Linked DNA regions of Xenopus tropicalis. The protein of the gene in region 2 interacts with the protein of the main gene of each other region in a pairwise test. Links are inferred from orthologs where the notes say so. Each region holds a gene or a part of one and is shown on either strand. Other genes may lie near its edges.

What was found.
Region 1: the proteins of exoc2 (region 2) and ralb interact in a two-hybrid assay, tested with the Homo sapiens proteins (2 studies listed by BioGRID). The link is inferred for Xenopus tropicalis from reciprocal best matches to the Homo sapiens genes EXOC2 and RALB.
Region 3: the proteins of exoc2 (region 2) and exoc1 interact in binary tests that used the Homo sapiens proteins (3 or more experiments, as listed by UniProt). The link is inferred for Xenopus tropicalis from reciprocal best matches to the Homo sapiens genes EXOC2 and EXOC1.

What each region holds. Positions count from the first base shown.
Region 1 is NC_030685.2:89,161,121-89,165,449, reverse strand, and holds the start of ralb (v-ral simian leukemia viral oncogene homolog B), read left to right. Parts: upstream 1-1,526; 5' UTR 1,527-1,592; intron 1,593-4,329. UniProt on the Homo sapiens protein: Multifunctional GTPase involved in a variety of cellular processes including gene expression, cell migration, cell proliferation, oncogenic transformation and membrane trafficking.
Region 2 is NC_030682.2:87,183,539-87,187,188, forward strand, and holds part of exoc2 (exocyst complex component 2), read left to right. Parts: intron 1-236; coding exon 237-359; intron 360-1,699; coding exon 1,700-1,761; intron 1,762-3,010; coding exon 3,011-3,070; intron 3,071-3,650. UniProt on the Homo sapiens protein: Component of the exocyst complex involved in the docking of exocytic vesicles with fusion sites on the plasma membrane.
Region 3 is NC_030677.2:40,651,987-40,656,287, forward strand, and holds the start of exoc1 (exocyst complex component 1), read left to right. Parts: upstream 1-1,382; 5' UTR 1,383-1,475; intron 1,476-1,520; exon of another isoform or gene 1,521-1,614; intron 1,615-3,708; 5' UTR 3,709-3,745; coding exon 3,746-3,869; intron 3,870-4,301.

The DNA.
Region 1 (4,329 bases), on a different chromosome or scaffold from region 2:
TTCATTAGGCCAACCTAATAAGCCAAAGCCAGAAAGTGATCAATACAGATCTCTAGATGCTGCTGGGAATCTATAAATAAGCCTCTACATACAGATTCACAGCACTCAAAGGTGAGCCAATGAAATTGCTCTATTAAATGACTATTCCTAAAGCGTTAGTTCCCCTTTAGTTAGAGGAATTTTTTTTCTCCACCCCCTTGTACAACACAAACGCCTGTTGATTAAGTAAGAGATCCCCATCAGCAGAGATGTAGGAAATAAAAGAAATGACCAGCCCATAGACAAAACCTCTGTATAATGAGCAGCAGCTTAGGGAAGGGGGGCTTTGTTTATACAGAGCTTATTATCTGCATTCAGAAAAATTAGGCAGTTTTTGTATGCATGTGTTTTTAAGTATAATTCCTCTCATAATGTTTCAAGAATGAATCATTATCACCCACATGAGCTCGGATCGGTTGCAATCGCTGATACCCATAACCCCCCGCTTATATCCCATGTCCAGGGTTGCCAGATTTATTTTTCCAAACTAGCCAAAGTCAGTTCTAAAACCAGCCCAAAACTAGCCAAAAGCCACTTTGTAAGTAGCCCAAAAATAGCCCAATATACGCAATGAAAAAAATTCTAAAAAAATACAAGTATATATGGGGAAACCTGCCTTATTAAAGCGTATAATCACTGCCCAGTTACTGGGATGGCTGGTAATTCCCTCTGTGCCCAGTCCAGCTGGGAAGTCACTACAGAAATGGATTCAGAATGTTCCATTAACCCCAGATATGATATATATATATATGGGTACATTGAACTACAACTCCCAGCAGCCCCTGAGATACCCTGAGAGTTATAGCTTAATGACAAACTGCAGAACTACCCCCACATCCCAGTAGAAAGTAACAGTACAATCACATACCCTATAGAGCAGGGAGCAGGGGGTAGAACTGCCCCACATCCCAGTAGAAAGTAACAGTACAATCACATTCCCTATAGAGCAGGGGGTAGAACTGCCCCACATCCCAGTAGAAAGTAACAGTACAATCACATTCCCTATAGAGCAGGGAGCAGGTTGCAGAACAGACAGGTTGAGCCTATGTCCAATTGCATGCTGGGTATTGTAGTTTTATATAAATCCTTGCTGTAGGCTAATTGTTAGATACAAACTACATTACCCAGCATGCAGTGGGACAGGCACACTAGGGAGGGAAAAACGTTAGCTAGTTTCAAAACTACAAACCCGCTAAGGCTCCAAAAAATAGCCCAAACCTGCACCTTTGGGGGGTTGTACTTTGGAAACCCGCCAGGGCATTAAATTAGTAGCCCAATTTGGCGGGAAAACCGCTAACCTGGCAACCCTACCCGTGTCCCACAACACCGGAAGCCACACACAAGTTGAGGGAAAGTAGAATACAGCGGTGCGCATGCGCCGGAGGAGGCGGGACGTTGGCGCCACACAAAGCCACGCCCATTAGCGTACCGCGCTTGGTAATTATGTCCCAGCCCGAGACCCGTAGCGGTTGCAGGAAGTTGGGGGAGGAGGAGCCGCGCCCGGGGAGCTGGGAGCAAGAGAGGGACCGGGAGCGGCGAAGGGAGACCAGGAGGTGAGTGGGGCGGGGGGGGGCGGCGTTTGTCTTGTGCTTCTACCGGCACCCCCTTATATCTTCACTCTCACTTCAGCCGGTCCATAGGCTTCTCCCCACAGCCGTGTAATGGAACTAGTCCCCTACTCCCAGCATCCTCTACTGACTTACCCAGCATCCTCTACTGACTTACCCAGCATCCTCTACTGACTTACCCAGCATCCCCTACTGACATGCCACCCTTTACCCAGCATCCCCTACTGACTTACCCAGCATCCCCAACTGACTTACCCAGCATCCCTGACTGACTACCCAGCATCCCCTACTGACTTGCCCAGCATCCCCTACTGACTTGCCCAGCATCCCCTACTATGACGTTACCCAGCATCCCCCTACGTGACTTACCCAGCATCCCCTACTGACTTACCCAGCATCCCCTACTGACTTACCCAGCATCCCCTACTGACTTACCCAGCATTCCCCTACTGACTTACCCAGCATCCCCTACTGACTTACCCAGCATCCCCTACTGACTTACCCAGCATCCCCTACTGACTTACCCAGCATCCCCTACTGACTTACCCAGCATCCTCTACTGACTTACCCAGCATCCCCTACTGACTTACCCAGCATCCCCTACTGACTTACCCAGCATCCCCTACTGACTTACCCAGCATCCCCTACTGACTTACCCAGCATCCCCTACTGACTTACCCAGCATCCCCTACTGACTTACCCAGCATCCCCTACTGACTTACCCAGCATCCCCTACTGACTTACCCAGCATCCCCTACTGACTTACCCAGCATCCCCTACTGACTTACCCAGCATCCCCTACTGACTTACCCAGCATCCCCTACTGACTTACCCAGCATCCCCTACTGACTTACCAGCATCCCCTACTGACTTACCCACCTCTCATTCCTACACCAGCATCCCCTACTGACTTACCCACCTCTCATTCCCTACACCCAGCATCCCCTACTGACTTACTTACCTCTCATTCCCTACACCCAGCATCCCCTACTGACTTACTTACCTCTCATTCCCTACACCCAGCATCCCCTACTGACTTACTTACCTCTCATTCCCTACTCCCAGCATCCCCTACTGACTTACTTACCTCTCATTCCCTACTCCCAGCATCCCCTACTGACTTACTTACCTCTCATTCCCTACTCCCAGCATCCCCCTAAAGCCCTGTCACTCATTCCCTACTCCCAGCTGACTGCCTGCATGGGAAAGGGGTGATGGGAGCTGTAGTTCAGGAGTAACTCCCAAGCTGGAGTATTGTTACTGTTATAATTACTCTCAGGCAAATCTTGATCTGTCTCTGAGACCCTGGGCCAGTCTCTGTCCCTCCCCTGCTGTTCTGATTGAGTGGAAGGGGTTAACTCGGCCCCATGTGACACACGTTGGGGTGCCATACTGCAATACAGAAACATCTCACAGAAGCAGTGTTTGCCCCATGGGGCACTTTTTATTGCTTTTTGTGCCCTTGGCCTTTAATTATGAGACCCAGTGACTCCCTTGTGATGCTGCTGCCGCCTTTCCTATAATAAGTCAGCACCATATTTATTGCCCCCAGTGTTGTTGTTGTGTGACTCCTCCCTGTGCTACAGCAATAGGGGTACATCAGACTGGGGATTCTCAGCACTTCAGTAGTTTCCCCATTTGTTACACTCTCAGGGGAGTATTTTAATGAACGGACTCTTTTTATCAGTGCAAATACTTGTGTATGTACAGGGTGTTAAATCAACCTTAGGGGGCTGTTCCTGCTGAATTGTGCTTAGAACAGGGGAATCCCTATGTGCCATAGTTTTATAGTATCTCTCTGTACAGGCTATGGGCAAACTTAGGGGGCTGTTCCTGCTGAATTGTGCTTAGTACAGGGGAATCCCTATGTGCCATAGTTTTATGGTATCTCTCTGTACAGGCTATGGGCAAACTTAGGGGGCTGTTCCTGCTGAATTGTGCTTAGAACAGGGGAATCCCTATGTGCCATAGTTTTATGGTATCTCTCTGTACAGGCTATGGGCAAACTTAGGGGGCTGTTCCTGCTGAATTGTGCTTAGTACAGGGGAATCCCTATGTGCCATAGTTTTATGGTATCTCTCTGTACAGGCTATGAGCAAACTTAGGGGGCTGTTCCTGCTGAATTGTACTTAGTACAGGGGAATCCCTATGCTGCCATACTAAGCTGGTATAGTTACCAGTTCCCAAGCATTCTGAATAGCAGATGTAGACACAAGAATGGACAGTGGTTGCCAGATGCAGTGGCCTTAGCAACCAGTGTACAGAGCACAATGAAGGCCATGTGGAAGTGAGTGACATTACTGTGCCGGCAGTAAGACAATGGGGTGCCAGTAAATCAGGGTGGGGGGGGGGTACTTGTGGTGCCCATTAGAGCTGACAATAAACCATTGATTTACTTATTACATTTCCTTAATTAGCCCCGGGACCGGCTCATTCATCCCAAGTAATTGTCAGAAAATCTCATTTCATCTCTGAGCATCAAAAATATCATTTATCTTCTTGGATTTGCACCGGCCCAGTACGTACAGGCGACCCTCAGTCTCAATGGGAATTAGGGCTCACTGCTCATATGGCTTTACCCCCCAGCGTTGGGGACCCCCCCATAGTGCTGATTCCCCCCACAAGACACCACAGGGCACAGGTAGAGTAGAAAGACCCTATTGCTGCAGGTTACTAAGACCCTTTATTCCTACTTGCCTGGTACAGACCCCCAGATGCACCT
Region 2 (3,650 bases):
GAGTGTAAACATTTGTAGATATTCACCCACTTCACCAAAAATGTAAAAAATCCTGCACTATCTTTGACACTATTCTCCAACCTATTTTATTTAATGAACAAATAGTTGCCATGTGTGAGCTGGGTTTTTTTTTTTTACAGTCTTCTATAGCTATAAATCTATTTGTAATTTAACCCTGTAAAGATATTCCAGTGTTTTCCATAAAGCAGAACTTCATTTTGTTTTGGTAATTTCAGGTATTTGCAGTTTCCAAAGAACTGGTGCCCAGAGTAATGGCAAGGATTGTAGAAGCAGTAGGTGATGAACTGAGCCGGTTAATGCAGTGTGTGTCCTCCTTCAGCAGAAATGGGGCTTTGCAGGTATATCAGTGCTATATCAGTTCTTCTTTAATAATAAAATTAGTTTGCATCTTTATCAAATCATATAGCTCCATTCATATACAATATGTATGTTCCTAATGTTTTTTGTCATCATTGGCCAGTATTCCTAGTTAAAGCTGAATTATCCCAAGAGGTTTTTCTAGAACATGGTTTCAGTTTTTTAAAAACAAACCTCATAGAGGTGGGGGCAATATTTTATAATCTGTATAGTATGCTTCTCTATTTGTGAAAAGCATATTGTACGTTGCTTGTAGGCTCTTCGGTAGTCATGTGCAGGTTCAAAGAAAATTGATCTGCATCAGCCCATACCCACCTGCTCCCATCCCATGCCAGACCTATTTTTAGACTCTTCCATGACCCACCTATCTCTGACTTCATGAAGGGCAGACACATGAATAGGGGTTGCAGGAGGTGGAAGTGGAGCATACTAAGGTCTGGGGGGGTGGGAAGAAGGAATAGTTCTTCCCAAACTCGCCCACCACCTGCAAAGAAAGTGTGTAGAATCAGCCCCAACCCATTCAGCCTAGGGTAAAATTGCTCATCACTACTCTTCAGAGCAGGGACCATATTCAAACAGTGTATTGCAACACCTAGATATTTTGACTTTATTCTTATTGTTTAAAGTATATATTTTACCTATAGCTCTGTTTACGCTCCCTCCTTGTAAAGCAGTGTGTACCACAGTGGTGCAATATAAATATATAATCAAAATATGAACATCTCAAAATGAATCTGGCCATGTTATAAAAGTATAAACATATATAATTGTAGTCCGAGCACAATCGTTGACAGCAAACAGGATTTTCTTTAGAGCCCCAACACTGCATAGTGTGTTAGTAATAAATAAATGCCTGGAAACTTAATTAGCAAAAATGAAGTATGCTTTCCTGTTGAAATCTGTTTGGATTAAAGAAAATTACAGTTAGATGCATTGTTAAGTGCGTCATTGACTAAACAAGAAGAGTAATTTCTAATGGGATCTATGCAGAAAAAATTTACCTGCACCCACCTACAACCCAGTTGCACTTGTAGGGTGCTATAAGCCTCTCACAGCCCAATCCACTGTGCGAATGTCCATGTTCAACACTAACCATTTGGGCAACCACTAAAATATTTTATCCTATTGGTCGCGTGTTGCCATATTGCTTGGTACATTTTAATTAAGAATAGCTAAAAATCAATAAATTGCTTTTAGCCTGTTTGTGTGTTCATTGATTTTGTGGCACCATTATTAGTGGCATTACAGAGGGTGAGAAATCGTATAAAATGAATACACATTAATTGTTTTTATATCTGTCACTTTTTTGATTTATTTGTAGGCGAGACTTGAGCTTTATGCTCTGAGAGATGCTATTGCTATCTACCTGACAAATGACAGCAAGTAAGTTTTTTTCCTTTATTAAATTACTAAATCATGTAAGTAATGACAGGGGATCCTAACTTTTATTTGTTCGTCTGTATTTAAAAAATAATACCAGTATGCCAATAAGTAGAAGAGCTGCTGATTGTTATCTTTGGAAATGAATCCTGTTCCTTAGGCAAAGCCAAAGCATTTATTCCCATCTACTATTTCCTACTTTTTCTCCTACCCTCTCCTCCCTGCTCTGTATCCATGCTCTCAGCCCCTCCCACACACTTTACCGCAATGTCTTTGCTCTCTACACCCCTCCAGTTTTGATTGTATAGTGTAAATTGGAATTATTGGCCAGCATGTCGGTCTGAGTTATGTGAATCTTTTCTTGTGAAATTTTCAATAAAAAACATAAAAACACAATGTCTCAATATTCTTTTAACCTCGTTCCCACTCCTTGATGTTCATGCTCTCACCTTTGTACCTTGACCCTGCATGCCTTCCATCCCATCCCATCTTCTCCAATGTCGATGTTTTCCCTCTCCTACATGCATGACTCTCCTCCCAACTCCTTGCCCAAGTTAATCATTTTCTTTCAATATTGCAGCATGAATATTTTAGCTGTGTCCATAGGCCTTCAGGTCTTCATAGGCCACTATTTTTCACAATTGTATGAACAAATTTTAGAGGATAAAATCAGTAGTATCCATACCTGACACTTATAGGGAGAAGAAAAGGCATAATCACAGGGGTGGCAATTTGTTAAGCACATTCCACAGGGCCAAAGTAATAAAAGTAAAAATGTTCATTAATGTAGAATTAAATGATAAATAAACAGTTTTTTTCTAAACTTAATGCTTAATGTCTCCGTCCTTTCTCCATTTGATTTGCATCAGGATTAAGGATTTAAATTGGCTGGTTCTTGTACAAAAATCCACCTTTGAAAATAAAGGTGTTCAAGCTCAAACCAGTCAAGCCATTTGGGCATAGTGATACATTATTCTCCATTTCTGTTTTCCATTTCAGAGAAGAAGCTAGAAAATGGGGTTCTTCAATGGAGAACTAAACCCTGATTTGGTGTTTTTCTGCAGTTTGTTCTCTTAAGACAATAAACCTTGTATCTGTGTCTTATGCATTAATAAATAAATGTGTGTGTGTCTCTCAATGCTATGTGCACCAATAAATTATGATTATAAAGAATTATTTGAAGAGAATAGAAAGACACACAACAAACTGTATTGCTCTGCTGTGTGTAATATGGACCCATTTCTATTTACAGATCCAGCTTCAAACATGCCGTGGAAGCCCTGCCGCAGCTGCCAAGTGGAAGTGATAAGAAGTGAGTCAAACACATATAAACCTTATTGGCTCCAGTGCCTCCCAAGTAAATGGAACAAATGAACATTTGAGACATGCATTTTGTATAGCCCTTGACTGAAAAGGATTAAAAAAATGTTGCTGCCAGTGAAAAATTGTGTAAAAAAAAATGGTGAAAAAATGTGCATATCCCTAATTTAGAATATATTGTAATTATATGGTCTTGGGTGGTTGCAGAATTGCTATTGTGCGGCAACCTTAGCACACTGTATAATCCCTTTCCTTCTTCAGGACCACGTCTGGCTTCTAGCTTGCATCCAGAATTTGTATAAAACCCAGAAAATGCATGTAAGCACAACTGGATTGTATGGGTTTTACCCCATTAATTGGAAAAACTAGTGCAATGCATTGCCATGGAGTCCCCTATTCAGGAACTATGGCCCAACCCATGCTACTTCAGGGTTGCACCACATCTGCAGTCTAACATGGGATTTTATTTGTGTTTACATAATTGCAAACCCATTTGGTTAATAAAAGCTCAGCTCAACCAGTTGATTTCAAATACATGGTTTAGCTCTAGTTTTACTTCTACCCATACATAG
Region 3 (4,301 bases), on a different chromosome or scaffold from region 2:
CAGGAAACAGGAGGGGACCCTTTTCTAATACGCTGCTCTGCGCGGGAAGGGGGGATCAGGTGAGTTAACCCCTTACATGCCTGGGGGTCATTAGCATATTGCTAGCTCCCCAGTCCCTCAGTGCCTTCTCTATTCTTTTCAGCACTCTCCAAGTGGGGTGTGGCTATCACAAGGGTGGCAAGGTTTACCATCCTCCTTGTTGATGAGGGGTTTACCCTAAATGATTCCATGGAATACTGTATTACAATATAGATTGTAAGCTCTAGGGGGCAGGGACCTCCATCCTCTTGTGTCTTTGACTCTTAACTTATTGCAACTGTATTTATCTTGTATTTATGTGTATTTATTGTTATACTTTGTATTTATCTATTATTATCTTAAAGGAGAAGGAAAGGCAAAGTCACTTGGGGGTGCCAAAATGTAAGGCACCCCCAAGTGACTTGAATCGCATACCTTTTACCCCGGGCTGGTGCCCCTGTTCAGAGAGAACAGCACCTGTAGCGATTCCTCCTTCCGTCTTCGCTCGCGCGCAGTAGAGTGAATAGTGGAACTTTAACAGAGAAGTCGGCTTTTCACTCAACTGCGCATGCGCCTATTGTGTTAGTCTTAGAGAAACGAAGCCGGAAGGAGGAAGCGCATCACTACAGCTACCCCGGGCTGGTGCTGTTTTCTCCTAACAGCGGCACCAGCCCGGGGTACGAGGTAAGCGATTTAAGTCACTTGGGGGTGCCTAACATTTTAGCACCCCCAAGTGACTTAGCCTTTCCTTCTCCTTTAATAATCGTATTCTACTGTGCAGCACTGTGTACATAAGTAGCGCTTTATAAATAAAGATATACATACATACTGTCAGGATGTCATACTTATAAAAGCTTACATGGTAGGGGCCCTGCTGGTAAATCTGCTATTGCCAGTACTTTGGTGGCCAGAGCAAACAAGGTATGGGTTCTAGAACATAGGAAACAATCAAGCAAAGGGCAGGCAGAGCCAAACAGTTCAACACATCAAGATACAGAATAAATACATGGCTGAAACCTGTTGATACTGTAAAGTTAGTTGCATTTATAAGTATAATTTATGAGTATCTCATTGACAGCCAGGAGTTTGTGGTTTAAAGGGAAACTGATTTGGATCAGATAAAAAGCTTCCAGAGAAACGAAAATATACACGACTTGTAAGTACATTGGGAGCTGTGGGGGTGAAAGTGAAGGCCGTGGCGAGACACAACACAAAAGATTTTTTTTTTATTCTGTAACAAAAGTAGGACGAGCATAAACAAAACAGATTTAGATGGGTGCTATCGCGAGTTACCAGCAGCTTCTGACTGTACAAACCTTAGTTAGGCCAGCTCGCCACTCCCACAAAGCAGCTCCGTGACGCGCCTCTGCGCTTTACGTGCAGTCGTGACGCTAATCTCGCGTGATGAGACTTGTGGCGGGATTTCCTGTGTGACAGGAGGCTGGGATCCTGCAGCTGTAAGTAGCGAAATGGCAGTGCGGGCTGCCTTAGCGGGACTGTTGGGCAGTATGAAAGCTGTGTAGGAGAAAGAACATGCAGGCGCTCTAGCAACCCCCGATAGCGGCCCTGCAAGGACCCACACATTTAATCCCAGAGGTGCTGCTGCTGCTGCCGCCTGTAGAAGCCCTGCTCTGTGTCACCCTGTCTGTATCAAAATAGCTCCTGTGGGGCCAAACCCAGCAGGGCCCTACCAAAATAGCTCCTGTGGGGCCAAACCCAGCAGGGCCCTACCAAAATAGCTCCTGTGGGGCCAAACCCAGCAGGGCCCTAAGGAGGCTGCTAGAAATTGCACACCAGTCTTCCCGATCTCCATATATAGAGTGAGCTCTGTTTCTGGGTAGTATTGGTTAGCTGTATAGGAGAAAGTATTGGTTGTATTGGTTAGCTGTATAGGAGAAAGGATTGGTTGTATTGGTTAGCTGTATAGGAGAAAGGATTGGTAGTATTGGTTAGCTGTATAGGAGAAAGGATTGGTTGTATTGGTTAGCTGTATAGGAGAAAGGATTGTTTGTATTGGTTAGCTGTATAGGAGAAAGGATTGGTAGTATTGGTTAGCTGTATAGGAGAAAGGATTGGTTGTATTGGTTAGCTGTATAGGAGAATGGATTGGTAGTATTGGTTAGCTGTATAGGAGAAAGGATTGGTTGTATTGGTTAGCTGTATAGGAGAAAGGATTGGTAGTATTGGTTAGCTGTATAGGAGAAAGGATTGGTAGTATTGGTTAGCTGTATAGGAGAAAGGATTGGAAGTATTGGTTAGCTGTATAGGAGAAAGGATTGGTTGTATTGGTTAGCTGTATAGGAGAAAGGATTGGTTGTATTGGTTAGCTGTATAGGAGAAAGGATTGGTAGTATTGGTTAGCTGTATAGGAGAAAGGATTGGTTGTATTGGTTAGCTGTATAGGAGAAAGGATTGGTTGTATTGGTTAGCTGTATAGGAGAAAGGATTGGTAGTATTGGTTAGCTGTATAGGAGAAAGGATTGGTAGTATTGGTTAGCTGTATAGGAGAAAGGATTGGAAGTATTGGTTAGCTGTATAGGAGAAAGGATTGGTTGTATTGGTTAGCTGTATAGGAGAAAGGATTGGTTGTATTGGTTAGCTGTATAGGAGAAAGGATTGGTTGTATTGGTTAGCTGTATAGGAGAAAGGATTGGTTGTATTGGTTATCTGTATAGGAGAAAGGATTGGTTGTATTGGTTCGCTGTATAGGAGAAAGGATTGGTAGTATTGGTTAGCTGTATAGGAGAAAGGATTGGTTGTATTGGTTAGCTGTATAGGAGAAAGGATTGGTTGTATTGGTTAGCTGTATAGGAGAAAGGATTGGTTGTATTGGTTAGCTGTATAGGAGAAAGGATTGGTAGTATTGGTTAGCTGTATAGGAGAAAGGATTGGTAGTATTGGTTAGCTGTATAGGAGAAAGGATTGGTTGTATTGGTTAGCTGTATAGGAGAAAGGATTGGTTGTATTGGTTAGCTGTATAGGAGAAAGGATTGGTTGTATTGGTTAGCTGTATAGGAGAAAGGATTGGTTGTATTGGTTAGCTGTATAGGAGAAAGGATTGGTAGTATTGGTTAGCTGTATAGGAGAAAGGATTGGAAGTATTGGTTAGCTGTATAGGAGAAAGGATTGGTAGTATTGGTTAGCTGTATAGGAGAAAGGATTGGAAGTATTGGTTAGCTGTATAGGAGAAAGGATTGGAAGTATTGGTTAGCTAATCTAATGTGTAGCGCTGGCTCCTTCTGAAAGCTCAGACTCGGGCACAATGCACTGAGATGGTTGTTGGTTCAAGAATAAAATTTTAAATGGTTGAGTGAATCCCTATATAAAATATAGTTCTCATAATAGCACCTACTGATTCGTTGGCCATTTTGCCACCTTTATCCATCTAGTAATCCACCAGCGCCTGGTACCTGTATGCTGTCTCAAACTCTTCTTCTTCTTATATCTTATTTATTTTTACTGTTTTTGAACCGCTTGTGATATTTAATTTTTTTTTAACTTTTTGTGTAATCTAAATATATTTTAACTCCCCATTTAATATGCTTATCATTATGCAACATATGTCACATCCTGATTTTTATCCATGAGATATTTATCTTTTGTTAAACGTAAAGAGATGCCAGACATATTGAAATGTTGTTATTATGAGCTAAATCTTGGTCTTACATATCTTTATTTGCTGTTTTACAGATTTATATCTATGATATGAAATAAGAATTGGATAAAAATGACAGCCATCAAGCACGCTCTGCAAAGGGATATTTTTACTCCTAATGATGAACGGCTGCTGAGTATTGTAAATGTGTGCAAGGCAGGAAAGAAAAAGAAAAACTGCTTCCTGTGTGCTACAGGTATGAGAAACATTGCTATTGCACTATATAGAACATACTGTATCCAGAATATACTATGTTTGTGATAGTATTTTACTTTTACCATGTGCTGATTTCTGGATAAAAGTGAGCACAGCATTATTATGCACATAGGCTTCTTTTTTATTAAAGAGCATATAAACATTGCAGCTTACTGCTGGGTTGAGAGAGGTAATGCTACAACACAATTCCTAATATACTGAGCAACATAGTGATCAGCTTGTAGGCTAATGGTGCATATGGGGTGTTTTAACGTCCACTCTCGCTGCTTCTAGTTCTAATTACTCTCTTTAGCATTCCAAGGCAGTGGTTCATATATCACCACCAGGGTTTGCCACTGACAGTTAGTTTTCCATACATCTTGATAGGAAGGGAGGCTTTTTCAGGAATTATGCACATTGCTGTGTTACACCT